Drosophila melanogaster: one gene and its partners. The protein of the gene in region 1 interacts with the protein of each later gene in a pairwise test. Each region holds a gene or a part of one and is shown in the gene's direction. Other genes may lie near its edges. The genes, in order: ranshi, HP5, CG18764 and Zif.

Region 1 (7,327 bases):
ATGGACGTAGCCGGTCAGGGATGAAATACACCAAAGAAACTGTACTAATTCCAGGGACTTTAGCTTAGAACCTGTTCTACTGTATATATTTCGTTTCGCTTGCAGCTCTATAGAAATTAATTTATAAAAAAGATTTAATTTAAAGATTTAAATAAAAGATTTTATTTATAATTTTATAAATTTAAAATTATAAAACAAATTAATTCAAATTTATATGTGATATTATTGGAGTATAATAAATATGCAAATCCGTTAAATATCAAAGCAATATATAATACTAACGTTAACAAAGTAATTCATTTTCGAGGATATATATATATTTTGGCATCATATGAACCCCTTTGCCTACGCCACTGAAAATATGTTTATTTCGGGGCGAATGGCAAATATTAACACGAAACACCGGGTGAATGGCAAATGCAGTTGACAAGCGACGCGTTTATTTTTTGTGTTCACAAATATCTTAAAAACGATTTCATTTCGGATTGCGAATGAAAAATGTCGAAATCGGCGCTGAAACACCTAAAGAGCACCTGCCGCGTATGCGCAAAGTATGCAAGCAACAAGCGGTCGCCGAAGTTATTCGAGCGGAGCAACACAAAGATGATCGACAACATTGAGGCGCTCACAGGCCTTCGGGTAAATTTTTCACTGCGGCTTTATGGAATTTATGTAGTTATAGCTTAATTTATTGGTGTTTAATCTAGCTGGAGAACTACGGTTGCCTGCCGGATCAGATATGTGAATGCTGCAGCATGGAACTGGCCTCCGCCGTTAAGCTGAGGGAGCGCTGCATCGCCGCCCAGCGTGAGCTACTCTTGGGATTGACCGAGGAGCAACGCCAAGGCATCTCGGCCTTCTACCGGGCGGCTGTCATGGGCGAGGATATTGTCCAGACGGTGAAGACGCCCGACGATGATGAGGTCTATGCCACTTATCAGGAAATCGTATTGGAAGAACCTAAGGAAGAGATCGACGACACCAAGGTAGAGTACGATAATACCTACTACGAGGTGGCCGAGGGACACGCCGGCGAGGACGACGCAGCCTCCTTGATTGAAGAGGCCGACTATGATTCCATAATGGCCGAAGACGAAGAGCAGCAGCAAACGTTGGAGCTGGACGAAGACACCGAGCTAATTGTGGGCGACGTCAACGACGCGTACGTCTACGATTCGGATGATGAGGTGGCCGTTCTTGACAACGTGCTGGATGATGAGTACGAGCATGAAAACATTGTCGTCAAGAAGTGTAGTCTGCCGCCAAAGCCAAAGGTCCGGTCGGATGATGCGCGTCGTCGTGGCACCGGCGGAGTATACATCTGCGAGCAGTGCGGCAATCACATCAAGGGACGCATGGCCTTTGAACTTCACTGTCGTCGCCATCGTGGGGACAAGCAATTTGGCTGCGAGTGAGTACATTTCTACTCCTTTTTGGATACAGTATGACTAAATGGATTTATTTTCAGACTCTGTCAGTCGCGCTTCTGCACAACTTCCGAGCTGAAACGCCACATGCGCAAGCACACCGGAGAGCGACCGTTTGCATGTAAGTACTGTGGCCGCTGCTTCACAGACTACACCACGCGCGTGAAGCATGAGCGTACCCACACCAATGAGCGCCCCTACGTCTGTGGTACTTGCGGCAAGGCCTTCACTACCGGCTACATCCTTAAGAACCATATGCTGATACATTCCGGCGAGCGGGCCTACAGGTACGTTGAGTCATACAGCTACACAGTACCGGGAAACCCAATAACTAGGTTTCTTAGAAATTCTAAGATCATATTATGCGGCATTACAAGAGTTTTCCAAAACCTTATGAGAGTTAAGATAACTAAATATTACTTATGTTGCCAAATTTCGTGAGTAATATTTAGTTATCTTATAATAATTTCTTATAATAATATGAAACTAGTGATACTGGTACAGTTACTGAAATGTTTGAAATGCCATCTAATACTGAATCTTCCCCTCAAGGTGCGAGCTGTGCGACAAGTCCTTTATGCTGCCCACCCACCTGAGCACCCACTTCCGGTCTGGCGTACACAAGCGGCATCTGGAGAAAGCCGAGATGAAACAGGTCCTGGAGCAGGAGCAGAAACGTGAACTCAAGGAGGAGGAGGAGGACAGCCTGCACATCTAAAGCTGTCCTTATAATATATACATAGCAATTACAGGCAATGCTAGACCGACAATGGCGCACAGCCAAGGAGCATTTCTGCAAATAATTAACAAACCAATTGTAATATGTAGAACTTAATATTGAATAATAAATCAAAACTTCAAATCCCAACTTATGAGCATTTATTTCATCTGTAAAAATTGCTTCCATGCGAATGGCAAACGGAACAGCTGATTGACAAGCATAGCATTGTTTACAAAAAGTTTGGCGTTTCAAACTTTTTTATCGGCTCAAAAATGGAAGGAAAAGTGTGTCGCACTTGCGGCAAGCGCACGAATGCTGAAAGATCATTGAATATTTTTGAAAAGCGCAATCAAACTACGCTGGAACACATCAAACTACTAACTGGAGCTGTGGTGAGAGGATAATAATGCGTAGTGTCTTTAACTTTCTAAAGTTTTTTCTCTTTACAGTTAAAGAACTGTAGTACGTTGCCAAATCGACTATGTGCGTCCTGCCAAACTTGTTTGCAACAAGCCATATCCTTTAGGGAACGCTGTTTGGAAGTCCAAAGGGAGTTGCTCCATTCCCAAGATGATGAAGACTTCCTTAGAATCTGCCAGGAATCTCCCAAAAGTGTCCTTGAGCAGGAGGAGTTGGAACTGGATCTGGCAGAAATAAGCATAGAAGTCGAGCGATTAGACGATCTCAATGAAGGGCCCATTCAAAGCTCCGGTTTTAAAGTGGAGGACATTCTAAATGAATCTAAAATCAACGAAGACGAGCCCAATAATGAGGACGATATTGATTATAGTGAAATGGATTACCTTATTTACGAAAGCGATACTGAAGTAGATGCAAAGCAGGAACTCAAATCAGACTCTGAGAATCCCAAAAAAAGGAGAAATCGTCGAAATCCCCGCGACTCCAATAGGACCTTCTTTTGTGAGGAGTGCGGAAATCACATAAAAGATCGAATATCATTCATACTGCATTGTAAGCGACATCGCGGCGTCAAGGAGTTTGGGTGCGAGTAAGTGGCAATTCTACTTAAGATTGATCCTAACTAATCCGCTTCATTTAAGATTCTGTGAGGATCGCTTCTGCACGCCGGCGGAACTTAAGCGTCACATTCGCAAGCATACCGGGGAAAAGCCCTTCAAGTGCAGACACTGTTCCCGCAGCTTTTCTGACTACAGCACTCGGTTGAAGCACGAGCGGACTCACACTAACGAACGACCTTTTGTCTGCAAGGAGTGTAACAATGCCTTCACAACATCCTATATTCTTAAGAACCACATGCTCGTGCATACCGGGGAGAAGGCTTTTAGGTAAGCGGGTACTCGAAATAGTACTTAAGTGTAATAATAATAATCTATTCTATTTGCAGGTGCGACCTCTGCGATAAGTTATTCAGTCGCTACACACACCTTACTACCCATTATCGTTCAAATGCTCACAGACGAAACATGCAGAAAGCAGACACAATCTTTGATAAACCCTAAAAGGTATCACTTAAGAAGCTCTTAGTTGAAAACGGTTGCATTACCAAAATAGGAATTTTTACAAAAAAAATCAAAACGGATAATCAAATTGTGAACTATATTTGGCTTTAAAGGTTGAGATGGACTCATTAAGGTCTAGTTTGTACTATACATTAGAGTGGATGTTTCCAGAGCAGCCAGGCCCAAAGACTCATCCTGCTCCTGCTCCGCGGGCAAAGGCACTTCTATCGTAAAGGCATCCGCCTCTGCTTCTGGCTCCTTTTCCGTCACGAATTTGACCTGATCCGCTGACTGGGATGGTGACAGCTGAACTCCACCCGCGTCTGCCATCGATTTCTCCAAGTTGTGCTTATGAGTGTTAGAGCGGAAGTGAGTCTTCAAGTGGGTGGGTCGCGCAAAGGATCGATGGCACAGCTCACATCTGCAAAGGATCGGCTAGGTGATCATTAACTTAAGCACTATTTATCATAGTTTACTAGCCTGAACAGGCGCTCGCCCGTGTGGATAAGCATGTGGTTCTTGAGGATGTAGGAATTGGTAAAGCTCTTGCCGCACTGCGCACAAATAAAGGGTCGATCATTTGTGTGGGTCCGCTCGTGACGCAGGCGACCACTGTAGTTGACGTAGGTGCGGTCACAGTAACGACACTGGAACTTGCGATCTCCAGTGTGCATCACTTGGTGTCCTTTCAGCTCACCGGAGGACAGGAAGCGGGCGGGGCAGAGTCTACATGAGAGCAATGTTACACAGTTAACTATCAGATTGTACAATTGACGAGCTAAAGCTTTTCTTACTCGCACTGAAAGGGCCTAATTCCGCTGTGTTTGCGTAGGTGACGGTCGAAGGAGGACTTCCCTGTAATATTGTTGCCGCACTGATCGCAAAAGAAAACTGGAAGCGTAACCTTTGTGCGATTTTCACCTTTCCCGCCTTTCTTAAGTCCCCGACGTCGGGTTCTTTTCAATCTGACCGGTGAGGTAGTTCCATCATCTTCGGTAGAGCTGGACATCGCTTTAATGGCCAGCTCCATGTCTGCTTCGTTGCAGGAGTCCAGGTGATCGATGCCATCATCCTCCTCATCGCCATTGCTCAGGCTCTCCAGCTTAATCATTACCTCCAGCGGACTTGCTGGCGTCTTTGGAGCGGTGTCTTCATGCCGCTGTCTTTGGGAACGGGCACTGCGACGAACTGAGGAGCGGAATGTGTCCTCTTCATTCCTGACCAGCGACTCTTCAAAGATCTTCTGACTCCTCAAGCAGCGATCACGAAAGGATATGGCGCTTTTCAAATCCGTCTGGCAGGTCTCGCACATCCAGTCGGGTAAACCGGGTTCGCATTGCAGCTGCCAAATAAGATACAACATTTTAATTGAAGGAATTAATGTGTTTCGTAGGGTAGGCTTACCAGAACACCGGTGAGCAAATTGATTTGTTGCAGCACTTTGCAGGCGCCGCTGTTAAATAGTTTCAACGATTTCGAGTTGTCCGTGCTGCTGGCACACACGCGGCACACATTTTGCAGCATTTTACCAGCTTACTCGATTCTAATTAGTAAATTTCCAATTGTAAACAAGACAGCCACCCAAAACTGATTTGCCATTTGCCACGAAGCAGCGCACTAGCTTTTCCACCTGAGACGTTGTCCAGCACTGGCGACTTATAAAACCACTAAATCGTAACGGCTGCTACTAATTAAAATCAAACAATCTATACAAATTTTTTGTTTTCTGTGTCCTACACACTTAAAAGCATTAGCATTTATTTCATTTTGAGAAACAGGTGTGGTGCAAATATTGAGTATACAACTTAAATTCATAAAAATACGATAAGATAAAAATAAGATAGTCCCCTTTTGGGTATCTTTTTATCTCAAGGAGCATGTAAATCTTATTATTTCATAGCTTGAGCTATTTAATCCTTCATGACTTCTGCTTCTTGACATTTTGGAGGTGCATCATGGATCTGGTGTGCGTTACCAGGTGCGCCTTTCTCTGGAAGGAGCGATCGCAAATATCGCATCGGAAATTCCTCTCGCCCGTGTGGATGACCATGTGGTTCTTTAGGACGTAGGCAGTGGTGAACTTCTTGCCACACTCTTCGCACACATAGGGTCGATCGTTGGTGTGAGTCCGCTCGTGGATCAGCCGGCCCATGTAGCTGACATACCGCTTTTCGCAGAAGCGACAGGCAAACGGTTGCTCCCCAGTATGTACCCGGTGGTGGGCACGTAGTTCGCCAGCAGAGAGAAACCTGGCATCACAATCCCTAAAAAGAGAATATGGAATCAGCATACCGAACCTACAGTTGTAATCTGTGAGCGAGGTTTACTTGCAGCCAAATGGTCGTTCGCCTCTGTGTTTTCTCATGTGGCGCTGGAAAGTGGGTTTCGATGTGGCATGAGTCCCGCACAGCTCGCATATGTAAATCTGATCATCCAGTTTGGTTGATACTTTGATAATCTTTTGTGAAGGTACACACTTCTCATCTATTCCATCTTCCCTCAGCTGCGCTTTCGCATCTCTATTCAGAGTTTTGTCCATGGGCTCCTCTTCAATCAGTACCTGAAAAGTTTCTTCAACCAACTCGCCTTCTTTCTTTTTCCCAAAATCGCTGAATGCGCATTTTTCCGATTCCAGTTCCGAATTGTCATTGGTATCTTCATCACCCGACGAAGAGTCGTCCTCGATGGTTAGCCATTTAGTTTGGGTCTTAATGCAAAGCTTCCGGAATGCCAATGCCGATCTGAGTTCCGCCTGACAGCAAAGGCACATGAAACCAGGAACATCGTCCAAATCCACCAACTGGTGCTGATATTATTTATCTCAATTTTAAAACGTCTTTTAACTCACTCTTAGTCCGCTTATCATGTGCAAGTGCTTTAGATATTTTCGGTTGACCAAATCGAAGAGATTCAGGCTCTTCTCACAGATTTTCTGCCTTCCGCAGACTCTACACACGATGTTCAGCATCTCGATCACTAAACTCGACTGATGGAAAGGCAATTGTATGGTGATTACATTTTGAGGCAAACCAGATAAATTATTCATTCAAGGCGGGGATTTTTGAAAGTCAAAATCTTTATTTAAATAGCTATTGATCTGTTAACAACTGGAGCAGTCTGATAAAACAGATACTGCTTATAATATTAAAACTTAATAATAGGTGTAAATAATATTGGTCAAATCGTTAAGCTGAACCATTTCATGGGTGCTTGAAATAAGTACGACCTGCATGCTAATAATGCGCAGGATCAATTTTTGAAAACAAAACATATAGCTTCATATTTCTGTTTCGGTAAATCGAAATAATCCACGTAAAATGTTTCGTAAAATGTATTTCGAAAAAGATTTGATTCTAAATTCAATGTTCATTTTTGTACCTCATGTCTGAATATATTTTATTTTAAAACTAGCCCAATAAAGTATGTATGTATAAGATAAGACTATATAGGCACTTTTGTTATATTCAAGGAAGCAATTGCAATGCAGATGTAAATTACGCAAAAAAAAATAGCAAAAACTAAAATTTGCAATAACATGGCCACTGTAAAGTGTTTTTTAAAAACTACGTGCTAAAAAAAGCTAAATTTGTTCCCAAGTTGTCTCTTTGTTGCTGAGTTTTAAGGAATTACAAAAATGTCACCAATATTTTTAGACCCATATTTGATATTGTCTTTTGTGGTTTCAGCTGTTATTAAGT
Region 2 (10,393 bases), on another chromosome or scaffold:
TTGGCCAAGTGGCCATAATAGCTTGGCCACGACTGTGTGGATGCTGGATGCCCCAGCCCCATTGTTGTTATTTTCGATATTTCTTGGCGAAACATACATACATATCGGTTTTATGTTGTGGAAGCTATTGCCTCTGATTTTACATAACGGCACTTTTTGCCTCGCCAGAAAGGGACGGCTAACAAAAGGTAGCTGCGCAATCGCAAGAGACGGCATGAGGTTGTCAAACTTTTTTCGAAAACAAATTTCAGAGGAAGTAACGAAATGCCAATAAAGTAAAGCCACGCTACATAGATACTTTTCGTTGAGCCCCACAAAGAAAGGTGGCAGCTCGATCATGAACTTGACTCCAATAGTTAGTATTCGCTTAAACAAGTAATTACATATATATTTTATAATTTAAAATGCACTTAAAATGTTAACAAAATCGCATTTATTTCGGAGTCTTTTTTTGCACAGTGATCACTGTAATTTCACAGTTGGCTTACTTAATTTGCGTTTAGTTTGGTTGCGCGAAAACGTGTTGGCAAGCGCTTGGTATGATCCGTTAAAAAATATGTATACATACATAAATACAAAATAAACGCCGATAGGGAAACAGACTCAAGTGCAAATTATTTTTGACATATATTTTTTGCGGCTTTGCGGCGAAGGTCGAAAGCTCGCGCGATCGAAATGGGCAACATAATAAGCAGCAACAAACAACCGCCAAAATATCATAAAACAATGCAAATAATGAAACATGGCGAAAACACTTGAGCAGATAGTTGAAAAACCCGCTAAACGCAAAAAGAATTCCGTTTGAAATAACCCAAAAAAAGTATCTTGACTTTTGTTATTTATCTTTTTTTTATATATGTATATGTTTTTTTTTTGTTGGCCAGAGAAGGCAGAATGAAGGCTATCCTGCCCCAACCTTCTCCAGATAATGACGGATGATACACCAACACACCCACGAGCTCTGCAAATTTATGATCATAATTAACATGACGATGACTTTCTGCTCTATGTGCTCCACTAGTTTTAATGCTCGTGATTTAAATAAATAGCACAACTGAAATTTGAATAAGCACGCAACAATCCCCACGCACAAAAAAAAAAAAACAAAAACAAAAGACTTGAGTGCGATGGGTCGGGTACAGCAGAGGTCAAAGGACTATGGCTGCATTTCCAAAGCAAAGTAAAGTATAAAGTAACTGAGCACTTGTCTGCCTTTGGGCATCTTTAAGATCTCGATATAATTTAGCAGAAAGCCCTCAGTTGCACGTATATGTAATCTACATACGGATACAAAGCTTATCACGACCGGCAGATAAACAAGAGTTCAGCAATCTTTTAGCTAGTTTCGACGAAATTCGCTGCAGCCAGTTTGTTTTTAATGCAATGAAAGCGTTAAATTAACTGTATTCATATTAAACAAACAACAATGAAGCTTAATAAGCTAGCAATTTACTATTTTTAATGCTAGTTTTTTCACCCCCACTGTTCGTTGCGTCTACGTAGGCCATGTGCAAGGTGGCAACGCTGCTTGCAAGGTGTCGCCGAGTTGGCAATGCGCAGGCGCAGAGCGGGCTAGAGCGAGATGGAGAGATGCACAGTGAAAATTGGAGAACAAGATTAGATGTTATTTTTAAATATTACTAAGCCATTGGTCGTAATTAATGGTTTACAGAAGAGTGGACGTAGAGTCATTATTCTTCGATTTCCATTTCCATTTTATAACTGGCAAATAGTTTTTCCCTCCCTCGATTGCTGAATTTTCCCACTGTGCGTTGGGCCCACGAAAAGTGGGTGGAAAGCAAAGGAAAGGAGAGCAAGACAAGGTTACAACAGAGCAGGAACAACAACAACAACTAGTGGCAGGAGCAGCTGATGCGGTGGGAGTGGAAGAGCAAAGCGAATTGGGAAAGAGGAATTGGGAAAGGGAAGCGGGCAATGGGAAATGAGCAATGGGAATGGCAATAGGAATGGAAATGGAAAAGGAAGTAAGAGCAGGGCTGCCCTGTTGTCATTGTTGTTGTTGTTGCTCAGCGAAGCTGCAAAGAACGATGATGAACGATGATGAATGATGATGGACAATGAGCGATGAACAATGGACAATGGACGCTTTTAATTACATTAATGCGCGAAATTTAAGCATACAAAATTAGTTGTACCCGATTTTCTTTTGCTGCTTCGCTAATTTGTAAAAAAAAAAAGGTAGCAACAGACACACACACGCGAGCATAAACCCACACAGACAGCGAAAGAAAGTTTCTGTATTTTTTCCCACTCCACTTTTTTCGTTGATAATGTTTACACACACACATTGAGTTTTTTTACGGAAGAAGTAAAGATGATGAAGAAGAACGACACATAAAATATAAATAAAGATGCTGGAACCTCACCTTTGCTGCTGCTTCTTCGGCCACTGTAAATGAACCGTTAGGCTGGAACAGGGGGTGGTGGTGGTTGCGTTAGTGCGCTGCTGCTGTTGTTGTTGCTGTTGCGGCAGCAACAAATTGCCGTTGTTTATCGTTTTTTTTTTATCCGCGTTTCGTTTTCAATCAGCTAGACTTTTCCACATTCGACGAACTCAATATGTCGCGATCAACTCGTATCCGATCGAGAATCGTTTGCATTAACTTTATAATACACGATTATTTTGACGACACTACCGAACTTTTTGCTGCTGTAAACGTCACACAAACACACACACACACACACGCACAGGCAATTGCACACACCTCAGCAGCAGCAATTTTTTCTCTCGCCCTCTCTCCCTATGCTGTTCTGTATGACTTTATTTTTATTTAAATACTAGTACTTTTTTTAAAAGGACTACTTTAATTCAATCACTCGTTATACATCGACCGAATATTGCACTGGAAAAAAATACAGCGTTCGTTCGACGACGGTGAATTCACGAATGTTTTTTTTCGCCCACTGGCGGTGTGACCGTCGCGCAAAAGCTGAAGTAAGCCGCTAAATAAGTATTACCATATACTAAAATTCTCTGAAGCGCAGATAGCTGATAACCGATAGAAAAGTTTCTACTGCATTATCGATTATTTGAATAATACCAAAAATACCAATGATAGCTGTTTAGCACAGACTCAAACCTGTACAGTGGGCTGCAAGTGCTGTTATTACATGTTTGTAAATGATTTTGAAACATTCAACCATATGAGATAAGTATGAATCTTAATGGAGTTATGTTGCTCAGAGTAATAAGTTGTTGTTCAGCATTCCATTGATGAAAAGTGTCCATAAGATCTTTGTCGTTTAATGATAGGAAATAGGCTATTTGTTGATAAATTTAAAATACATTTTGTGGTTAATGATTGTTGGCGACATAAATAACCCATAAAAATGCGCCGAGGCGGTGAAATATTTTCGCGGTATCTGCGCACGGGCACACCAGCTAGATGGCGTCTTTAGGAGTGTGTAAAATTAATCAGGAAAGTTACCTGAATGCAAACGCGATTTTAAAAGTCGCATCTGCTGATTAAGTGGGCAAATCGAGTGCTCCTCGCGCCACAATTAGTCCGTGGTACAGTGGCCTCACTAATTGCGCAAAACACACATCTGTAAGCGCATATTAACCGTATATTTTAAAGCGGTAAATCTGCGCTCTTTGCTAATTTTCATTTTCGTGGGAAAATCGCAAAGGGCTGAAACCTGCGATAATGGATATTTTTGATATGGTCAAAGCGGCGCCGCCGCCGCAAACTATTAATCCGGTGGACACCAAGCTCTCCACTCCGTCGCCCATACCGCCCGATTCGCCAATCGACGTAAATGGTAAATTGAGCATAATTTTGTTTGCCTGCAAATTGGCTGGCAATCCTAGAAGTTTAATAACCTCCAATCGTTTTTTCCATTTTCTGTCAGACCTCCTGGAGAGTGGAAACCAATTGGACGAGAATGACTTGCGCATGTCGAGAAAATCAAAGAATGTCGAACAGTGCAGCATTGATCTGTTTGATTCGGAAACATCATTCGACCATCTCGACGAGTCATTGGCCAAGAGGAAGCGTAAGAGCGTGGCTAACTCAAAACCAAACAAAAGCAGGAAATCCACTGTCTCTGCATCGACGCCGCACAACAAGAGGCCAAAAGTGTCCATTGACGACGACGGCGAGGCCATCGAGGAGGACCAGCAATCGATGGTGGTCGTTCCCACCAAGACGAAGGCTCAGCAAAAGATGTTCAGCGATCAGCAGTCGCCGAATGTTAAAAGAAAGGTGCGGGTGCTATTACGTCGCCTGAAACAGACAGAAATCGATTCGGCCGTCGAATCTTTGGCCAATTCATCATTTATCAATGTGCCCGAGATCGTTAACCAGAGCGGTACTAGTGGCCGTAGCAGGCACAAAAAGAGAAAAACGTCACCTAAGAAACAAAAGTCATCAACAGCGCAGACCAATTTCCACATCAAAGTTCCTTTGCAGAATGGCGCCAAAAAGCGTGCTCTGAACCACTCGTTGCGCGCTCATACACCGCCGCCCAGTTTGGCCAAGAGTTCTGAAAGCACACACTCCGCACTGAAGCGAAGTCCCAAGCCCAAGATCAAGGCGAAGAGATTATCCAGTCGCGGACGCAACACCGATCCGGATTTGGTTAAGCGTTATGGCGCGCATTTCTTTGGCTGTGTGGTGAAGGTGAGGAGGACGCGTTTACCAAGTGCCAAGTGGCCTGACTGCAAACCGCCTCCCATTGGCGACGGAGTTGTCAGGAAGGTGTATCCCAAGAAGGCGGTATCCTTCAGCGAGGCCGTCGAGATTCTGGGCAGCCCCGGGGGTCCATCACGTCGGTCTACTTTCGGTTCGCTTTCATCGAGAGGAGCTCCGAAACCGACACGACTGCAGCGTGTGGATGCCACTGGCAATGTGCTGGAGGACATAGCACTGACCTCCACGCCGCTCTTCTCGTCATCTTCTGGAGGCTCGCGCGAGCGGGTTAGGCGCCGCTCATGCAACGGTACGCCTGTGGTCGGAAGGCTCAAGTTACGCAGGTTGGGCCGCCTAAGCATAGACAACAGCTCCTCCAGGTCTGATGGAGGTGGAGATAATGATGATGACGATGAGGAGTATATAGGTAGGAGGATGCACTTATTAAACTGACATCAAACTCGATGTAATCGCATTAATCATGTCTCATTTTGTATTAAATGATTTCGTTATTTTTATGACAGGATTTGACCAAATCAAATTAAAGAAGAATTGAGCTAAAACTAATGCAATTCTCTCCATTTTTACGTCCAGTGCCCAACGATGTGCCGGGGTCCCAGAGATCTGGAACGCCTCCGCCCAAGAAAAAGAAGATATCCTTCACCACGACCATCAGTGATGATGAGGACGAAAAGCCGGTACTAAAAAAGCAGAAGGATGCACAAAAAAAGCAGCCAAAACCCCTAAAAGAAAGATCAAACAAAAAGACGGACAAGATGCTAAACGAAAAGGAGACGACTGACAAAATGCAAACGAAAAAGGAGAAAAAAACGGAAAACTCACCAGTTGTGGAAATTGAATCCTCCGATCCTGATGTCGAAATCAAACCACCAGTGAAGGAAATCGAAACGAATGAGCGAGAGGGAGACGCACACGAAACTGAGACAAATGAAGTAGAAAGAGATAGAGAAGAACAATTTGTGGATGCAACAGAGAAAAATACAGATGAGGCGAAGGAAAAAAAAGTAGTAAAAGATATGCCAGAGTTAAAAGAGGCTGACAATTCGGAGGAAAAATCGGAAGATGCTCGAGAAGAAGTTTTGCTAGACGAGGACGAGAAAAATCTGGAGGAAAATGCAGCTGAAATCAGCGATAACGCCGTCAAATCTTTAGAAAAACCAACGAACGAAGACAGGGTTGAGAAAGTAGAGGACGAGGTCGAGCATGCCGAGGAGTTCAGTGACTTGCCGACCCCACCACAGCTCCCGTCCACAACTGACGATAACGAAGATGACGTGCTGGAGATCCAGACGTCGTTGGACGATGTCCGTCAATTGCATACGCCATCATCCCGCCAGAGTACGCCCAAATCGCGCAGTCGCCTCGATTCCGGTGACTCCGATTGCAGCTTTAAGTCCGCCAGCGATAACGCCAAGCTGCTAGCTGGACAAGCCATTGAGGAAACAGAGCAGAAAGCAAGCAAAGCGCCGAACGATGACGAGGATCAACAAACAGCAGCAACCATCATCGGTGATCCCATCGATTCACCCGAACTGCCGGCCGAGCTTATGACCCCGCCCTCGGCGCCCAGGACAGTGAATGGTGAACCCACCAGCGAATCCAGATCAACGGCAACGACATACTACTCGCCCATGGAGGATCCCATGGCCACGCTAGATGACGTCATCATGGACCAGCTATCCGGTGAGTGCCAGACGATCGCCTCCATCGCAAGGCAATCTCAAATAATAGCATGAATACTTAGGGAGTACAAGTGGGGACTGTTAAGTCTTCAAGACAGTAAAGTACGTCATTTTCTACTTTAATTCTTGCCAAGTAGTCTCGCTTTTCACGAAACTTCTCTATTTTGTGAGGCCAAAAACTCTTACGTTAAAGCTCTAGTGACACTTGGTCATTGGTCAAGCATTCCATTGATTGATTTAATGAACATTCGCCCGTTGCGTACATTTGTCATTAAAACAACTACTTAATAGGCATTTTTTGTACTTTCTCTGGTCTTCTCTAAGTCTGGGTATCTTAATTAAGTGTAAGTGTATAGGCAATGCACAATTTCCAGTTGCAATTTGAACTTGCTTATATTTCATACTTTCGTAAATGTTAATTTGAATGCACCTTCTAATAACTATTTGCTCTGCTTATGCCTTTTAGAACCCAACTTTCAGTTGAACTCCAGCCGCCATGCCATCTCGAGGGGTACACTGGACGAAATAATGACCGCGTTAGAATCGTAGTAAGCTGGCAAATTGCGCACCAAGTACAGATAGACAGATACAGATCGAAACCGAAGCATACACACAGACACAGACATAGCTACAAACTCACACGCACACACGTAGGTTTATTAAGGACCGATTAATTTGTACATTTAACTGAATTTATAATTAGTTCTCCCTACGATCAAGAAGTAGTCTTACGTTTATTTTTAAAGACATATTCAATTTATATGCAAACTCACGTTGAAAATACCAAAGTATTTTTGCAAGAGAAAGCTATTGGTGCAAACGTTAATATTTTGCACTTATATGATTGCTAAATTAGTCAGCAAAACAGGGACAAAATTTAACACAGCTCACTCACTCAACTTGCAAATGTGTGCGATAGACCGTAAAAATTAATATTTTAATATTATTAACGGTTAAGCGGAATCAGAAAATCAATTTTCAATGTTTAAGCTACTTAAACAGAGCGTTACGTTAGTTTGACTTTCAAGAATACGTATTGTTCGTTTCTCATCCTTTTTTTTTTTGACAACTTAGATTTAAGAAACACTTGCGTTCATGCACATATATAAATATAAATATATATATTTAAGTATGGATCGTCTTAAATGTACTGTAAGTTCAATGTATTAATGTACATCATCATCATAAAATGTATGTATGTAAAAAGAAAACAGATTAAAAATGGATAAAATATGTTGCCAGTTTTCAATGGGATTGGCTGAGAAACTTTTTCGAAATTTGCCGCCATTTGAAGATGTTGCCACATTCGAACATTGACGTTGCCATATTGTGAAAAGTCTTGTACCGTTTATTTTAAGCTATGTAAAAATGATGTTATTTTTATTACCTAACATGTTTTTTTTTTCACAGAATATTCTACAGTTAATTTATACAGATTGAATAAATTTAATGTGCTAGAAAGAGATTTTTTTGTGACTAATTTGAATAGATAAATGGAAAGATGTTATCTTGCTTTATGAACAACACACACTTAACTTTCTGATATATTTATCAATCACAGGATAACTTAAGCTCGTTTTTATTAATGTTCTATTATATAATTAATATAATAAAATGTTTCTATACACAAGCAACCATCGCTCAGCGTTTCCGTTCTTATATATTCTTATTATAATAAGTATTATTTCGAATTTATGCAACGATTTTACGTTCGTTCAGTTTCGCGGCCAACGTTGCCACATGTTGCCACACGCTTGCCCCCAAAGGTGGCCACCTTTCATGCAGAGCCCCGCGTATCCAATGCAGCGCCAAAAGCAAAACAGTCGCAACTTTGACTTGTTGACGGTTGGTTCTCCTCGGGATTCTGGGGCCGCGTCAAAATTCCAGATCGTTTGGCGCGAGTGCGAACTATTTCAAAAGTTGCCCCTTTGCGTGAGACGTGCCCCCGAAATGTTGAACTCACAGGACCAAAGCGGGCCGGGCCCCTGAAAACCAAAAAGAAAATAAAGAAAGAAATTAAATAGATATAAACAAAAGAAAGAAAAAAACACACTATTAAATGATAGCACAAGTAATTTAGGCATAGGCCGGCCAAAACAATCAGAAACGGAGTGCAGAATGCCCATGAAGAAGGTGACGGTGAAGGAGTACGATTCGCAGGATGAGGCCAGCACCGAGCTGCTGGAGAAGCTCAAGCATCTCGACCGTCGTGTGGATGCCGCCGAGGGTGGTGGCTTGGCCAAGGGAACCGCCGGCGGACGAAGGAGCACCGCCTGCTGGCAGTCGATGAAGTGGAAGTCGGCGCTCAATCACATCGGACTGCTCGTCTCCCTGTCCATTTACTGCGGCGTGGGCGGATTGGTAAGCGATGGTGGGGGGCAACGTGTGTGCCCAGTTCGGTGCCCAGCAGACCCGAACATAACTAGGCAAATATTTAATTATTTTCAATATGTTTTTATTTATTTATTTTTGTTTTTCCATCCCCCCCTACCTTTGGCTCGCCTTTTGCGGCTGCCGCGAACATGCAAAATGATTTGTGTTGTTGGGCGAAAAGCCGAAAAATGGCTAGCGTTCAAATTGTTTGGAGCAAGAAAGAAATGCAAAACACACATAAATACAGTGGCCAATCGAGCAGGGGATTTAACTTGGCCTAAAAAGAAAATATTTAATATCCCTCTAATGCATTTTTAAGCCAACAAATTTAAGTCACTATATCCTTCCTTCAAATAAATGTTGCATATATAAAAAATTATGAATCCAACGATCGTGCACTGTACCAATGCGATTAAAAACAATAACCCAAACAGAGCGCAAATTTATTGCAGTGGGAAATAGTAAAAATTAGACCAAAATTAAGTCATAAAACTATTTTGTACATTTAAGTGCCCCGCCTCCCCTAATTGCCACTGCACACATATATCGCCACATATCCAGACGCCCAAATCTGTCTGGCTGGCGGAGCAGGAGGCAGTGCATCATGTGGACCACGTCCAGGCCTTTTTGGCCTTGTCTAAACATTTACATTTTCGCCAATGACGTCGTGGTTTCAGCTCTTGGCCAAGTTCTAGATACATATATACTTGTATATATATGTACATATGTGTATTTGGAACTGATGCCGTCAGTTGTCCACGACTGCAAACTACAACTGGCTGCAGTTAATCCAAGGCAAAGGTTGGAGCTGAAGCAGCCAGGAGTCCTAATTGCTGTGTCCCACGACTTGACATATGGCCAAGTGTCGTGCCGGGTGGGTATTTGTTATATTGCCTCTCAATTTCCGCGGACTACAACAATTGGCCACTGCGAAATGGATACGATGGTGTGGGTGACGGGCTAAATGAGCCAAACGAATGAATGTCGAAGCTTATCGAGAATGTCTGATATGTATAGGATATATAGTACGATGGAGGTAGCCATCATTAAGGAGCATCTAAAGCAGGCTATTTATACCGATAATCAGTGTTTTTCCTAAGCAGATTAGTAGATTTCTGTTGAATGTATTAAAAGATGGTTTGATTAGCTTAAATAATCATCCTTTGACTTGAGCTGGCGAACTTAAAATACATATTGTTAGCAAAGTGACTCTATTTTAATGTACTTCCATCGACGGACTGCCTTGGCAACTAATGATGATTCATGGCGCCTTGAGTTCTTCGATATTTTATTCTCGGCCACGTCGAATGGGAAATCGAACAGCATTATCTTGGCCCAATCAACACCTCGCTGATATATCGGAGAGCCATGCATTAATCAGGCAACACATTCGCATTCATATGGATTGTCGAGGAATCCCCACCCCCTTTTACGCCCTAGCTAAATTTTTCCGAATTTTCCGACGGACGAAACGTAACGGTTCGGGACGGGACCCTTCAATCTCTTGGCCACACACCACATGTTGGCCAATTATGCGCACTTCTCACTTAAATGGCTCATCAAATTTATTTCGAATTCAAATTCACATGGTGAATGGCATTTGTTTTATGTTCCGATTTCACGACGCCTCAATCGCTTGATCTTTTTCTTTATCCCAATAAACGG
Region 3 (7,515 bases), 2.9 Mb from region 1:
TCAAGCTTAAATATTTAATAGGGCCCACCTGTTAGTTTAAAAAAAAAAATTAAGATTTAATTATTATCAATTATTCAATCGATATGCCGATAGCAAGTTCGATAGCCATTTATCGTTTTGCGTACATGACAACCCTGGGAAAAGTTCCAAGACGCTTGTTTATTTCAGAATTGCAAGCATACGTACGTCCAGGACGTGCAAGATAATGCCCGAGTACATGTTGTGCCGAATCTGCTTGACAGAGGACATCAACTCGGAGGCGATGGCGCCCCTGTTCGATGACAACGACGCCCAGTGCCGGGAGCTGGTGCGCAAGATTGAAGAAGTGGGCAGCATAAAGGTACATGTGGATGCAAATGTAAAATCCTGCGACTTAACCCACTCTGTGCTTTCAGCTGGTGCCGCTGCAGAACATCCCCAGTATGTTGTGCTACAGCTGCGTGGAGCGACTGACCAGTGCCCACAAGTTCCGGGAGCTTTGCCAGGAGAGCGAGCGCACATTTGCCACCAATGTAGTCAAGGTACGTATAGAGTTGATGGGCCACATATAAACATCCCACTTGACCCGGTACCATGTCAGGCCGAGATGAAGTCGGAGCCAACGGACGAGGTGCCGCACGTAGTGGCTGACAACATTGAGTACATCTACGAATCGGCCAACGACTTCATCGACGGTGTCGAGGATGACATCGGAATGGAGAACATCATGGAGGAGCCCCTGGAGGATGGTGTCGGGGAAACGTCGCAGGCCTACGAGACTAGCACTGTAGTGGACGACCTGGACGAGGATGACTTGCTGGTGCCGAATAGCACCGATAGCGACTACCAGCCCATCGAGCGCTGCCGCAAAGCTAAGGTGCGTAAAACGCGGATGACTAAACGTGGACGTGGCCGACCTCGCGGTGCTAGCTCCGGACACCCACGCAGTTTTAGCGAGGAGCGTCCGCCTGTTCAAGCTAGCTTCAAATCATCTCCCGAAGTATCCTCCACGAACATTATGTGCGAAATCTGCGGCAATATCTACTCCAAGCGAGCCGCTCTCAACATTCATATGCGTCGTCATATGGCCGAGAAACCATTTAAATGCGAGTGAGTATCTGAAATTATCATCTGAACCATTTTATATTATGTAAATCTTATTCCGCTTACAGAATATGCAGCAAATCCTTCGCGGGTCCATCCGAGCTAAATCGCCATATCCGCGTTCACACGGGCGAGAAACCATTCTTGTGTAAATATTGCAACCGCTCGTTTGCGGATCGCAGCTCCAATATTCGTCATGAAAGGTGAAGATGCAATTCCTCATAGTAATCTTCATATAAACTATACTTGTTCCTTTTGCAGAACACACACAAACGAGCGACCTTTCACTTGCTCCACATGCGGCAAGGCATTCTCCTACTCTAACGTGCTAAAAAACCATATGCTCACCCACACGGGCGAGAAGCCTTTTCTGTAGGTCCATTGACTGCTTTAATCATGTATAACCCTAAATTCCCTTTAATTTTTCAGCTGTCGAGTCTGCAATAAGACCTTTTCCCGCAAGCACCAGTTGGATCAGCATTTGGGCACCATGACCCACCAACAGACTGTAATACACCACAAAAACGAACGGACGGGGCGCTATTAGTCGAAAACAATGCAATACAATTTCTGTTAGATAATTCATTAATGTACATTTAATTATATATAAAAATTGTAAAATAAAAAAGAGTACAAATGGTCAGACCGGATGTGTAAAATAATCGGATTTGATTTATTACTATTTGGTTAAAGAACTTGTTCAAAAACACAAATATTTTTTGTAATGTTTTTTATTACGTCCATATATTCGAGAAAAAAATTGGAACACGATTACAATCTTTGATTTTGTGCGTTTATTTGGTAGTTTTAACATCATTTTGGCCATTAAATGAGTGTGCGTTTTTTATTGTTTCTTTTCTTTGTGCTCTGTCGAAGACTTTGTTACCGTTTGTGGAAGCTACAACATGGAATAATAATCGAATGGCACAGGATTAATTAAATCTTCTTTTTTTGGACAAGTAAATATGTTTTGTTTTTTTAGGTTTATAACTTGTAACGTTTTACATCAAAATCTAAAAACGTTTGGAAGTCGGGAGGGATGCGGCTCTTCTTCTATTCCTTAGGGAAACAAAAAGTAAAACCAAATATGCTAGATATTCGCATAAAATGGATTTATGCGAATACCTGTACTTAAATGTACGTCTACCTTGTTAAAGAAAAGGACGCGGAATTTTAGAATTCTTACCGATAGCTAATTAGTGTAATGGCTAGATAGGCAGCTTCATTGTTCAATGGCTAGCTCCGTGAGTTTCTCTTCTTTGCGTTTATGAATATTGCTGGACAGGTGGGTCATCAAATGGGAGATTCGTTTGAAGTGCTTCTGACATACGTAGCAGCTGTAAAATCAAAGTGTGTTGAAACGTGTAATACAAATAATGTGCAGAGTTGGCAGAAATCGAAATGCCCACTAGTGATTCCGCGCATCCACATGGATCATCTTGTGCTTCCTGAGACATCCGGAGCTTACAAAACTCTTTTTGCACGTGTCGCACTCGTAGCGGCGTTCGTTCCGATGGCGGCGATGGTGCTCCTGGCGAGCGCCTGAAGAGGAGAACCGACGTGGACAGTAGACGCACACGTATGGCTGCTCGCCCGTGTGGATACGCGTATGGCTAGTCAGTTCCTTTCGAGTTGCAAAGCTCCTTTCACAATTCCTGAGGAGAAAAATCGTATCTTAGGTGCACTAGCCCAAAGGAGGTTAAGGATAATTTACAAAAAAACACAGTGGAAATTCTTGATGCCTGTGTGCCGGAGCGTGTGCTCTTGAAAGTTTGACTTATTGTTAATGATCCTTCCGCAATCAGGGCATACATATGGACCAGTACCTCCTCCAATTGACTTTTGATGGTTCAAACTAGTCGGTGCTGAGACCTTTTCAGCACTTGGCATTGGAAGATCTTTGACTTCAGGACATAGAATGGACTCGTCCAACTCACTCTCAATTTGGTTATCATCGATGTCTTCGTATATTATTGGATCTGTGGAGCAATCCTTGCTGTCGCACTCAATCCTTTCCAGATTCTGTTTCTCGGCAATGATGCAGCGCTGGCGGAACTTAATGGCTGCCTGCAGATTGTCCAGGCAAGTCGTGCACATTTGGCCGGATATTTCTTTCTTGCAGCTTAGCTGGAAAGTATAAATAGCAAATTAAGTGCCATGATTAAGGAATATTTTTAGACATATTACCTCCACCCCAGTAATGGAGTGAATTTGACGAACTAGATGACCGTTTCCTGGACCAAAAAGGTCTATTGGGGCATCTGATCTAGAGCAAATGCGGCAATTCAGAATTCGCATCTCGACTTTGATTTGTTTTTGAATAATTGTTTACTGTTTACGTTTCGAGCAGCTTATGCGAAATGTGTCGTTAAGCTATTTGCATGGTCACTCTAACTTTTGCACGCATAAACGCTGTTTAGAGTTTTTGCACAGGGATTAGTACCTTATGAAGTAACATAAATACAAATATGTTTTATAATCTCATTTAATAAGAGTACCATAATGGTTTACTGCACTTTTTAAATCATTTAAGTCACACAATGGCATTGCCGCACTTATCGATTTTGTCGATAATAAAACCAGCTGTTGCATCACAATATATATACATACATATGTGTAGTGGATGCGTTTACAAAACAATTGGTTGTTTATATTCGAATTAAACTGAAGTTGGGCTAAACTTCGGTTGATTTTCAACTAACATTATGGCGCTCCAGTGCCGGACCTGCGGCAGCATCATCTACAATAAAATGCCCAAGAATCTCTTTCATATTGAGAACGAGAAGATGCTGCAAGACATAAATCTTGTCACTGGCACAACAGTATGTAAGAAAAATGGTTTCCATTTGATTTGTGCAGCATTTTCTGTGATTGCAGCTCCACAACGATCCAGAGCTGCCCAGCAGCATATGCGCCTGCTGCACGCTTGACTTGAACCAAGCGATTTTGTTCCGGGAGCGGTGCATCCTAACGCAGAAGCAGCTCGTCCATCGTCGTAGATCTCCCGAAGCGAAGGAACCGGCTGAAGATGTTGAGGAGATGGCATCACCGCCGGATTGTCTGAACGATCCATTCGGGGAAGTCGATGAATACATTGTGGAATCCCCAGAAGAAGTTTTGGATCATGATAGTGATGCTCATCATGATCTGGATGAGGATAATTATATTGATTCTGTTGAAGATGTTGATGCGCTTCAAGATATGGCTGAAGTAGCCGAAGAGGATTCTCAAGATGTCGAATCTCTGATCTCAAGTGTACAGAAAGAACTTGAGAGCATTTGCAACGACGACAGCAACTCGGATAACAACGATTACATGGAGCCCCAAAACGGTTCCTATTTCAATGAAACTATAAACGAATATGAAGTATCATCGAACCCAAACACACCGCTGCCCGAATCGAAGAGTGCAGCAGGTCGGTCAACGAAGCCAGCGACCACAAAACCCAAGCGGAAAAAACAGTACGTTACGTGGAAAAATATGACCGAGGAGCAGATCATAGAGCGTAAGCGACTGCAGCGTAAACGCGAGTGTGTTTGCGAACAGTGCGGCCGGCAATTCACCGACCAAAGCAATTTCAAGCTTCACATGCTGCGGCACACGGGCAATAAGAACTTCGCCTGCCAGCAGTGTGGCAAGCGGTTCTACACCGACCATCTCATGACGCTGCACCAACGAATCATTCACCAGGGCGAGAAGCCATACGACTGCCGCTTTTGCACCAAGTCCTTTCACAATAGCAACACTCGCCTCATCCACGAAAGGTAAGGGACGTATCCTTGTATCCACTACGGATTCGGACATTTCTGAGCTCAAACCAAAAAAAATCCTTTCTAGGACTCACACCAATGCCAAACCCTACAGCTGTCATCATTGCGATAAATGTTTTAAGTCAGCTTCGGGACGCAAGCGGCACGAACTAATCCATACAGGAGTGCGAGCCTTTGCGTGAGTATTTTTTGACTAGGCGTTGGTATTCCAAAATTTAATACAATTCCCTTTGCAGCTGCACCATCTGCAAACAATCCTTCCAGCGCAACACTCACTTAAAGGCCCATCTGCGATCTAAATTTCACACTGCAAAAGCGAAAACCATTGGTGCGGAGGTACTACAATTATAAGCTGATATAGTATTTAAATTAAAAAACAAGTATTAGATATAAGAAATAAAGCAATGTTTTCATTTAATTGGAGTGCAAACATTTAAATTGCGATAAAATTTTATTAACCCGATTTAATAATCGACACATGCTGCAGTGCAGCCCTGCCAATAAGTATCCAAGGTGGCAATCCTGACATATTTCAATATAAATTTGGAGTGAAAATAAGAATTTTTATTCAAGTTTACACGTCTGCCCGAAACTTCCAAATACATTTGACGGAGAAAGTATTAAACATTATTTTTTATCTTTAATCGTTTATTTAGCCAAAGGCTTAAAGATTTTGGTATATTTTGGCGCTTCACCAACGGTCACACAGTAACCATTTCCTATGAAATTCACATTGCATTTCTCTTTAGAATTAATAAAACTAAAAAAAGAAAGAAACGAGATTGCACACAATCGTTTACGACGAAGCTTGATTCACCCGCCAAAAGTGTTCCCCTCCGCCCGACTGCACTGTGAGAATACCGGTTGTTGACCTTCGGCAGCATGGAGCGTCGTCGCTTTAACATGAGCAGCATGTCACCCATGGCGGATTCCACGCGGATTGACGCGTCGCTGTTGTAAGACACCACCTGTCCAACTGGATTCTAAGCGGTTACTAATCAAATTTGCTCTCCTTTGTTCAGAAACAATCGTCCGGCGGCCAGTAATTTCCTGAGGGGACTGAGTCCCAAGGGGTCGAATACCTCGCTCAATGGCACACGCACTCCGGAGCGGTCCTTGATGAATCGCTCTGCCACATCGTCCAGTACCATAACGCGACAGAAACTGAACCTCAGTCAGGTTGATCCCAGGTAAGTCAAAGCTTGTGTGCCATTTCACGATGTGACGAAAGTGCAATATCAAATTTTCATACCTTTCAGAACCTTTGCCGATGTGCATAGCAGCGGACTGTCATCCCGGATCGTGGCCTTAAGCGAACGCAGTGGTCTGCAACGCAGCATGTCCGCCAGCAATCTTTACAATCCCTTGACGCAGCCGCGCAGAGCGCCCGCTTCCCCGTTGCCCTACAAGTCAAGGGCGCCGACGCTTTCGATCACGCAGATTGCACCACCGGAGCGCAGCTTTTATTCCGGAAACACGCTGTCAAGCCTGTTGCGATCCAACTCCTTGGTAGGGTTAGTGCCAAAGACCACCGAACAGGAGCAGCTTTCGAGAGAGAATCGACCCATATTGCACCCACCTCATCCACAGCATGAGAGCGAGCCAACTAGAAGCGTGTTGGAGGAGCTTAAGGAGATCTCCCGAAAGCGCATCAACACTGAAGTAAGTATAAGCCATCAATCATCCTATGAGAAGATCACCGGCTTACACTTGGCTTGCTTTCAGGATACGCAACAGGCTCAAGACTACACGAAAAGGAGTTGCCAGCAAAACGTGGACTTTGTGGACTTTGTGGCTCATCACCGTCAGCAACAGAAACTACGTAATTTGCAGCAACAACAGAATCAGTCCTTTAAAAGGCAACGAGAGCTGACGGTATCGGTTCCGCTCAGGCATCATTCGACATCTTTGTCGGCTGCTTCTCCTGCATTGCAACATATGAACTCGAATGGAACCATCTCCCCAACACAATCTCCGGAGCAGGTAGCCAAACGTCCCAATTGTAGCTACAGCAACGACATCACTTCCTCGCTGAGTTCCAGTTGCCGTCACAGCAACAAGAGGAAGCTGTTGGACATGCGAGAAAGGTTTCAGCACAGCAAAAACGACACACTAGCTAGTGGAGGAAGCTCGCCTGAGAACTCGCCCGAAAATGTTGCCAAAATTCAACGTAAAGTTGATGCAGAAGCTGTTAGCAAGGCAATGAGCATGCCCGTCGTGACTGTGGCGGCAGTTCCTGCTTCACGAGCCATTTCGGCTCCTGCCATTCAAAAGGCAGTTCCGCAGGTGACGGAAAAACCTAAGCTTACACTCTTCAATGCGCGACAATCTCAAACGATAGCGGAACAGCCGCGACCCGATTTGAGTAGCCCGGAAGTAGATGCCGGCGAATATGCAGGCATTCAGTTCGTGAAGCCTAAACAGCAGAATTCCATGCTGGCTGCCAAGAACCCTAGCGTAGAACGCACACACAAGACCAAACTAGCCATTATGCTAAGTGGATTGAAGGGCGAACTGTACCTGGGTGAGCCGGACGAACTAGATGCCCCAGCGCCGAAGTCAGCGCCAGCGCCTGTGACGCTTCCTACTCCCGTCAAACCCATCATCATAGCTCCTGTAACCACATCCACTACGACCGTTACGTCCACCGCAACCATATCAA
Region 4 (7,792 bases), 2.3 Mb from region 1:
ATAGGATTCTTCAAACAACACTTACTCCAAGCTGGTCTCAATCACCTGCAGCACCCTTCTCATCTTCTCCTCACTGGGAACTGATCCCGCTGAGTTGGAGTTGCTCAAAGCATTCATTACGTTTTCAGCAATGGTGGAGTTTATCACTCCACTGGCCGCTGGAACGCCCTCGTTCGGATGCCGTGGACCAGCTATTGTTGGGGTCGAAGGAGCAGCTGTCGCTGGAGTCGTGGTGACTGGTACTGGCGCCGATGGCACTCCCGCAGTAGCTCCGCCCATAGCGTGCATGATCTTGCCCAGACCCAGTTGCTGGGCTGTGCTAAAGCTGAAGGCATTGGCAAAGGCCAGGCCAGCAGCATTTGCACTCGCCGTGGCAAAGGGATTCGGAGTAAGTACGGAAGTGGAGACACCTCCACTGGCGCTGGTGGCATTGGAAAACGGAGGCGGCACAAAGCCGCTGGGCGTGGCTACAGGTACAGGTACATGGGTGTGACTCGTGGGCGAGATCTGGGCAGAGGCAGGTGCTCCGCCGACAGGGCCCACGGGCGTAATGGTCAAAGGAGAGCCCTTTGCATGGATAGCAGGTCCTTGAAATCTGGTTGCGCTGTAGACTATATCCGCGGGCTGTAGGCTGCAGTTCCCATAGGGATTGGCGTTGGGTTTCTGGAGGGGTAGTGCCACAGGGATCGGTTGAGGTATGGGAATGGAATTGGAGACTGGTGCTGTTGTTGCTGCTGGCGCCGCTGATTTCGTCCACTGCGCACCCAGCTGGCCGTGCTTCTCGGACATGTTAGGTGCTAGTGCTAGCGGCGCCTCCGTTTCCCTCCGCCTGCTGCTGCTCCCTCGTTGTTTTCTGCCTGCTGTGGTTTCTGGCCAAGATTAAGGGCGCTTCCGCTGCCAGGTTACGTAGGTGGCTGCCTGTGTGAGTGCTGGACTGCGTTCTATTGAGTGTGTGTGTGCCTTAGGAGATGGAGATTGCCGAGTCGATAACTGGCGCGACGAACATTTTGACGGCTGCGACGGACGAAGATACGGATGCCAGATATAGTTGCTTTCCCATTTTCCCGTCAGGCGGGAGTGCGCTGGGCGTGGGACGTGAAAGTGCGTGGCGTTCTTTACTGCCAACGAGCATGCGATTTTCCCAGATACGCACCGATTGAACCGAAATAATCCATTTTTTAACGAGAGATAAGAAAATATCTTGCGTTCTGCGTCTCGAAAAATATGTGGCGTTGCCAGACGGCTGCATTAAGAAATGTGCTTTTTTTGCCAGAGCTTTCGGATGTAAACACGGTGTTGTATTTGCGATTTCGCATAAATAAATGAGTAAATTACTAATAATTTGTATATAATTTGCAGATTCACCTTACGCAATGTTAGCTTGTATATGATAAACATGCAACGCTAGTCTTTTAGTGATCTTGCTGTCATCGTTATCGCCACTGGTCAAAAAAATGAGCCATAGAGAACTGGTTCCTAGCTAAATTAAATCTTTGGTGAGATGTATTGTCAGTATTGGACATAATATTTTCTATTGATAAGGCAAATTTAAGCGCATTAGGCCTTTTTTTAAATAATATTTAATGTAAGACGTTGGTATTTTTATGATTGAATTCTTTACTCTATCTAAATATACGTAAATATGAAAGAAATATATAAATATATATATAATTGTTTTCATAATATTTGAATATTTGAAGTATTAATATTTTCTTTCTCATTTTACAAGTTGTTTGTGTTTATAGGCACACTGGGGAATACTTTCAGTTATCATATCATATCGTTTAGCCATGGTTAAAGGAACAAATATTTCCAATGTATTGTCACAAGCAGCAAACATGTTTATCAGATATTTAACCAAAAATCCGCTTCCCGGAACCAGCAAAATGAACCACATCGTGTTCGCCGATGCTATGCAGCCCTGGTAAGGAAAATGGCGATGTCTTTTCGTTTCTTTTTTCAGTCGCTTTACACAACACTTTAGCAACACAAATTTTAACACTACAATACTACGCGAGCGGTTCTTTAAATTAAATTTCGAGCAGGATTCCAGAATGCGCGTCGAGCTTACCCCACAGACGTGCCGGGTCTGCCTGGCGCAGAGTGAGCGACTGCAGCGCCTAGACGAGATCCGCGAGGAAGGCGAGGAATCGCCGAACGAGATGTTGATTCAACTTTTGGGAGTCTCATACAGCAATGTAAGTGAATCGCTAGAGCTGGCAATGCGAACTGACCATTCATCCATCCATCCCTCATGCAGCTGAACGACAGAGAACACATACCCGATGGCATCTGCAAGTCCTGCAAGGTCGAACTCAACATGGCCTACCAGTTTCGCGAGAAGGCGCTGCGCAAGCAGATGGAGATTGAGGAGTACTGCCGGGAACTGGGCTTGCTGGACGAATCAGATGTGATGATGATCAAGGAGGAGGACGGCTCGCAGCAGCAATGCGACGAGGAGATGTACATCCTGGAGGAGACCACCACCGGGGAAGAGGAGCACCAGGAAGAAAAGGGGCACGAGGAGTACTTGGAAGTGGACACCAGCGATCAGCAGGAGTGCATTGGCGACACCATCGAGTACTTGGAGGACAACTACACCATCGAGATGAACTCCGATCAGACCGAGATCGTCCTGGAGTCTGAGAAGCAGTACGAAGAGACACCATCGCAGCAGTTGGCGCTGCAGGAGGCGGCCAAGGCAAGCCTGAAGGCGCGGCGCGGCCGGGTTCGTCGCGGATTAAACTCCCTAACAACATCGGACGGCACTGAGAAGGGTGGCTATATCTGCGACGTCTGCGGAAACTTTTACGAAAAGCGCGGCCGGATGATGGAGCATCGCAGACGCCATGACGGCATCTGCCAATATGCATGCGAGTAAGTCGAGTCGGTAAATTTCATATTAAAGCGATAACCCTAATCCCGCCTTCACAGACTATGCGATGCCAAGTTCCAGGTGCGCGAGCAACTGAGGAAGCACATGTACTCCCACACGGGCAGCAAACCCTATAAGTGCAGCTTCTGCAGTCGTCAATTCTTCTACGAAAGTGTTCTCAAGTCTCATGAAAAGTGAGTAGAAATGTTATTCTCACGGAGAGGCCTCAAAATGGGCCATTTAAATATATTCCTAGTTCGGGACAGAGATAACTAACTTTTCTTTTTCCGATCAGTGTTCACCGTGGCATCAAGCCCTACGTGTGCAAGGTGTGCGACAAAGCGTTTGCCTACGCTCACTCCCTGACCAAGCACGAGCTCATCCACTCGGACATCAAACTGTACCGCTGCGATTATTGCAACAAGGACTTCCGTCTGCTGCATCACATGCGCCAGCACGAGGAGACCAAACTGCACCAGAACGCCGTAATGCTGGCCGAGAGCATGAAGGTGGAAATGGTGGCCGAGCAGGGGGGCGGGAACGAGATCCGAATTCAAGCTCACTGACGCAATCAAATTCAGTAGAGTATACTGTCTTATTTCCAGATATAATCCCTTATAATCAGTAATACTAGCTTAAACGCTAACGGATAGCGTATTCATAGTTGTAAGAATGAACTTCATACGTAAATAAAGGTTATTTTTGTTAAAAATAGAATATCAAACGTATGTGATGTTTTAGCAGCATGTGGAATTTGGTTCATAAAATTAATTTATTTGATAATTTGAATACATACAATACAATACAATACAATTTGAAATGTAACACGCCCGAGAAAATCTGGCAATCTAGTTGTACGCTAGTTGGTAAAAGTCACAACTGGCCGTAGTTATTTCCACAATCAATGTTCGCAATGTGTGTGCGCGGGAAGCTATGCTGAAAATTATGCAATAAATATGGGTGGCTTCATGACGCCGTGGGTATATAAAATGAAATTGGAAAAAACCCAATTTGCACCTAGCGCATGCAAAGCACCAACAAATGTACAATATCAAAGGAAGTTCCGAAATTACATGACTTGAATGCGTTTTTTTTTTTCATTGGCCGCTTGTCTCCTTTTTTGAACTCCCCCGTGTATCATATCATCATTTTAGCGGAAACAAAAAATGTTCTTATGGACTGGTAAAGCCTTTCGGCCCCTGGGGCTTTGTATTTGATTACGGGTGGTGATACACTGCAAGCAAAGCTGGGTACAATAATTCAAAATAGGTAACCAAGGCGCTAGTCATATTATTTATTCCAAAATTTGGTTTAGAAAAGGAGTTTAAAACTTATTTTCTGTGATATTTATAATCATGACAAATTTCTAAAATTCAAAATGGTATCCAATATTTTTCCTTTTGAAGCTGCTATGATATTTTTCCTAGTGGCGAGATTGCGGAATGTGGAAGCTTGGGAAAACCAATTCTAACAAATTTGCACGCGATTTGACATGTCGAATCCATAAAAGCGCTTCAAACGATTGGATTATGGGTGTGAACGTCGAGCCACAGCCGCAGCCATCCAAACTCAATTGCCAAATTGAGATTCGGCCCTTTTAAACTGATTACGAGCCAGTCCAGGCTATCAATTGCAAATTTATTTCCCCCGCACCAGCCAAAAAAAAAAAAAACCCTTTTCAGGAGCTCACCTCCGTCCTTGACCTGGCCCTGACTTTGCATTTGTGGAAATCGAGTGGGAAAGTCGGGACTTGACTCATCACGCAAGTCCCGCCACCTTTTTTGTGGCAAACAAATCAGCAAGTTTACGAGCTGAATTGCAAATTCCGCGTTGGAAAATCCCAACGACTTCTTGCTTACGAAGCAGGTGAAAAGTCGAAGAACTTTGTGCGTTAAGCTAAGGCTTAAGTAAAAGCAAAAGTATTAACAAATAATTTAAGAAACTGCCTGACCGGTTGACAAACTATTGTAAGCATTTCAAAAGCATACTTTGCCAAAGAGTTATGCCTGATTCCAAAAAAATCACAGAGATAAGATAACAATTCATAAGAAGTACAAAATGACAGTATGTTTTTAAATTGTATAATTTGGTTTTCCAGTTTTTGTGTCAATGCCAAGTGGCTAAGGAGGAAGTTGGGATTTCGTCTCGGAGCGACTCGTCCCTTTTCCACAGTCACTTTCGCCCGCTCCCATCGAAAATTCTGCATAATTCATGTATTTTATTTAAAGAAGATGCAAAACCAAGAACACCCAATTCCAGCCCCATTCAGCCCACTCGTTCAAAACTGGGGCAGTGCTTGTCAAATGGCAGCTGTAAACTAAATGCTTTATATTCATTTATTCCGGAGCATAAACAATGTGAACATCCTCGACAAACCGGAAGACTTGATGAGCTCCCTGTGCCTGTATATGTGCATAGTATGTATGTACATATGTATGGACATTCTCGTATGCGGTGCAGCACTGAGTGTGTGTGTAAGTTAGCATAATGTCGTGATGCCATGGTTAATGCATGTGCAACAGGATGCTCTTCCATTTGCGGTTGCCTCATCCGAGGAAATTAGTTGCTCATAGTCGAAGCATCCGCCAAAGAACGAGGATGGAGGTGAGAAGGCGACATCGTTTTATTCCATTGGTAAATTACACAATGAAATATATTCGATTTGAAGATTAGCTGTAATTACCCAGAAGTTCCATTTAATCGCTACGAAAAAAACATCGTAAAATCATCGGCCACGCCAGCAGAGCGGCTGCACAGCCGACGCTCTTCCGAATCTCTCGAGCGCGATCTCTCTTCTAAAAACAAACGGAACATGCAAAGACAAAAAATGTACAGTTTGTCAAGAAACTGTTTACACACTGGGAAATAAGTTGAATTTTTGACTTTAAAGGTACAAATTAAGAGTTCTTTGATTAATAAAACGCAATTTCTTTATTAAATATAATTAAACAATATTTATTTTACTTATAAATAAAAAAAAAAAATTTTAAATAAAGAAAATAAACAACAAATTCCAAGTTTACACACTTTTGAGACTGTCAAGAAACCCTTTACACAAAACACTAAACCTAAGTTTAATCCTACATTTTTAAATTATTCTATTACAATTTTAAAAGTTTTAGTATGCAGTATGGTGGATATATATTGGCTTTCGCTGCAAGTTGAAGCCATTTTTATCCGATTAAAAAGAGGTAAAAAAGCGAAGAATAGAGCGATGGCATACACGTTAAAGTGCGCTTAAAAATCGGTGATTAAAAGCGATAATTTTCGCTCTTTTAGCGGTGTTTATGTGATTTTTTTCATATCTATGATTGCCTAGGTCATGTCAATGTCAAAATCATCGATTGTTGTCATACAAATTAAGTGGGGATTAGCGCTCGAAGTTTTTGTTTAGCGGTGATTCACCAGTGAATGCAGGGTTATTTAAGGCAAATAGTTTTCACAAGTATGTCCATATAACTTTTAATAAATGTTCTATATTTCCTATATCTTATCATATGACGGGTTTCTTTAAAATTATAACACTTAATGCCTAACAACAACGAAGGGCCATTTTTATATACTTTTCGAAAATCCTGTTGCAGAAATATATTGGTCCTATCCAATCTATACTACTTTTGGGAAAGTATCAACAAGTTTACTCTGAAACGGACAAGGCTATATCGACTTTGCTGTTGATCAAGAATATACATATATACTCTATATGGTAGCAAACAGTCGAATAGAAATATGAAGAATGAATATAGAAGCAATAGATAGTACATACATGTACATATGTATGTATATACTTTTCTTGGACCAAATGCCTTACATTACTGACTGCAAACTTCTGACTGGAATCAGAATACCCTCGGCAAGGGTATTAAAACTCCCGTCCTGGTGCTTAAAAAAGACTCAAATAATAAATAAATATATATATATAATGTATATACAAATAATAGTATTAAATGGAGTTAGATGCTCATTTTCTGTGTTGTGGATTTTTGAGAAAATAAATACATTTTTAATTGAACTTTTCACAATTCGCTGATCAAAAAATCGAAATGCAATTTAAATTGCTTCAACTTCTAATCGCACCCCTGACAAATACTAGGCTTTGAAAAGAGAAACCCATTTAAATGCCGAGAAATCCCCTTTAATGTAGCGCAACATACACGCTTGACAGCCACGCAAAAACAAGGGCAGCAATCAACGGTGGCGGGGGGAGGAGCTGGAGGAAAGGGGTCGGGATGGCAGGAAGGATGCTCCATAAACCAGGCACGCCACCGCCAATCAATAAAGCCCGAAACAACTGACGCTCTGAAGCATCAAATATTTGTAGGTCTCGGCCAAAGTTAAGATGTGGAAAATCCCCACGAAAAAAGCCGTCGAACCATTAAAAGTAAACGCTGTGGAAAACGAACGATGTTTCCTTCAAACATGGCCCGACATTGGATGAGATTTGGCCGTAATAAACGCAAACAAATGAAATAATTTCGACTGCAAACAAAAGGGCATAAATTTATATATACATATGTACATATTTACGTTTATGGCTGTATACATTATACTCGCTTTCGGCCCAAGAACTCTAGCTTCCCAAATATCTATACGTTCGCGTATCTATGTGAAATTTATTAGCGAGAAGGGCGGGGCACATAGTCATGGGGCGTGGAACTGTGGCCCAGTAGACCTTGTCCAGTCCGCTTAGCCAAATTACGCATACGCACAGTTGTGCCGCTTGCGGGAGGCGCAATAATTCATGACACACGACAATCGGCGCACGACTCACGGATACGGATTCGGATGCGGACCCGGTCCCGTTCCCGGTCCCGATGAAGACATCGGCCACGTAAATTGGTTTAAGCTGCCGGCAACCGACAGCCCACCCAATCTCCATGCCTCCAGCATACCAGCCATCCAGTGGCACACCGACTT

What was found.
Region 2: the proteins of ranshi (region 1) and HP5 interact in a two-hybrid assay, tested with the Drosophila melanogaster proteins (one large-scale study listed by BioGRID).
Region 3: the proteins of ranshi (region 1) and CG18764 interact in a two-hybrid assay, tested with the Drosophila melanogaster proteins (one large-scale study listed by BioGRID).
Region 4: the proteins of ranshi (region 1) and Zif interact in a two-hybrid assay, tested with the Drosophila melanogaster proteins (one large-scale study listed by BioGRID).

The regions. Positions count from the first base shown.
Region 1 is NT_033777.3:8,724,754-8,732,080, reverse strand, and holds ranshi (ranshi), read left to right. Parts: upstream 1-2,387; 5' UTR 2,388-2,420; coding exon 2,421-2,540; intron 2,541-2,597; coding exon 2,598-3,157; intron 3,158-3,209; coding exon 3,210-3,455; intron 3,456-3,514; coding exon 3,515-3,629; 3' UTR 3,630-3,714; downstream 3,715-7,327. Other genes in the region: M1BP (motif 1 binding protein), read left to right, coding at 499-639, 708-1,411, 1,469-1,714, 1,980-2,145; CG8159 (uncharacterized protein), read right to left, coding at 3,765-4,050, 4,110-4,355, 4,424-4,971, 5,034-5,153; ouib (ouija board), read right to left, coding at 5,548-5,893, 5,957-6,429, 6,478-6,597.
Region 2 is NC_004354.4:11,451,409-11,461,801, forward strand, and holds HP5 (heterochromatin protein 5), read left to right. Parts: upstream 1-3,377; 5' UTR 3,378-3,668; coding exon 3,669-3,783; intron 3,784-3,873; coding exon 3,874-5,079; coding exon of another isoform or gene 5,080-5,105; exon of another isoform or gene 5,106-5,176; coding exon of another isoform or gene 5,177-5,208; exon of another isoform or gene 5,209-5,246; coding exon 5,247-6,356; intron 6,357-6,821; coding exon 6,822-6,904; 3' UTR 6,905-7,819; downstream 7,820-10,393. Other genes in the region: CG43155 (uncharacterized protein), read left to right, coding at 8,474-8,716.
Region 3 is NT_033777.3:11,623,206-11,630,720, forward strand, and holds CG18764 (uncharacterized protein), read left to right. Parts: upstream 1-3,683; 5' UTR 3,684-3,788; coding exon 3,789-3,905; intron 3,906-3,960; coding exon 3,961-4,847; intron 4,848-4,920; coding exon 4,921-5,031; intron 5,032-5,089; coding exon 5,090-5,204; 3' UTR 5,205-5,247; downstream 5,248-7,515. Other genes in the region: CG14711 (uncharacterized protein), read left to right, coding at 206-340, 396-521, 581-1,089, 1,152-1,286, 1,345-1,455, 1,513-1,630; CG6813 (uncharacterized protein), read right to left, coding at 2,306-2,420, 2,493-2,738, 2,798-3,210, 3,271-3,381; CG14712 (uncharacterized protein), read left to right, coding at 5,736-5,809, 5,876-6,043, 6,113-6,515, 6,579-7,515.
Region 4 is NT_033777.3:6,455,233-6,463,024, forward strand, and holds Zif (Zinc-finger protein), read left to right. Parts: upstream 1-1,855; 5' UTR 1,856-1,924; exon of another isoform or gene 1,925-1,984; 5' UTR 1,985-2,054; coding exon 2,055-2,198; intron 2,199-2,260; coding exon 2,261-2,877; intron 2,878-2,934; coding exon 2,935-3,069; intron 3,070-3,170; coding exon 3,171-3,441; 3' UTR 3,442-3,590; downstream 3,591-7,792. Other genes in the region: CG9727 (uncharacterized protein), read right to left, coding at 26-789.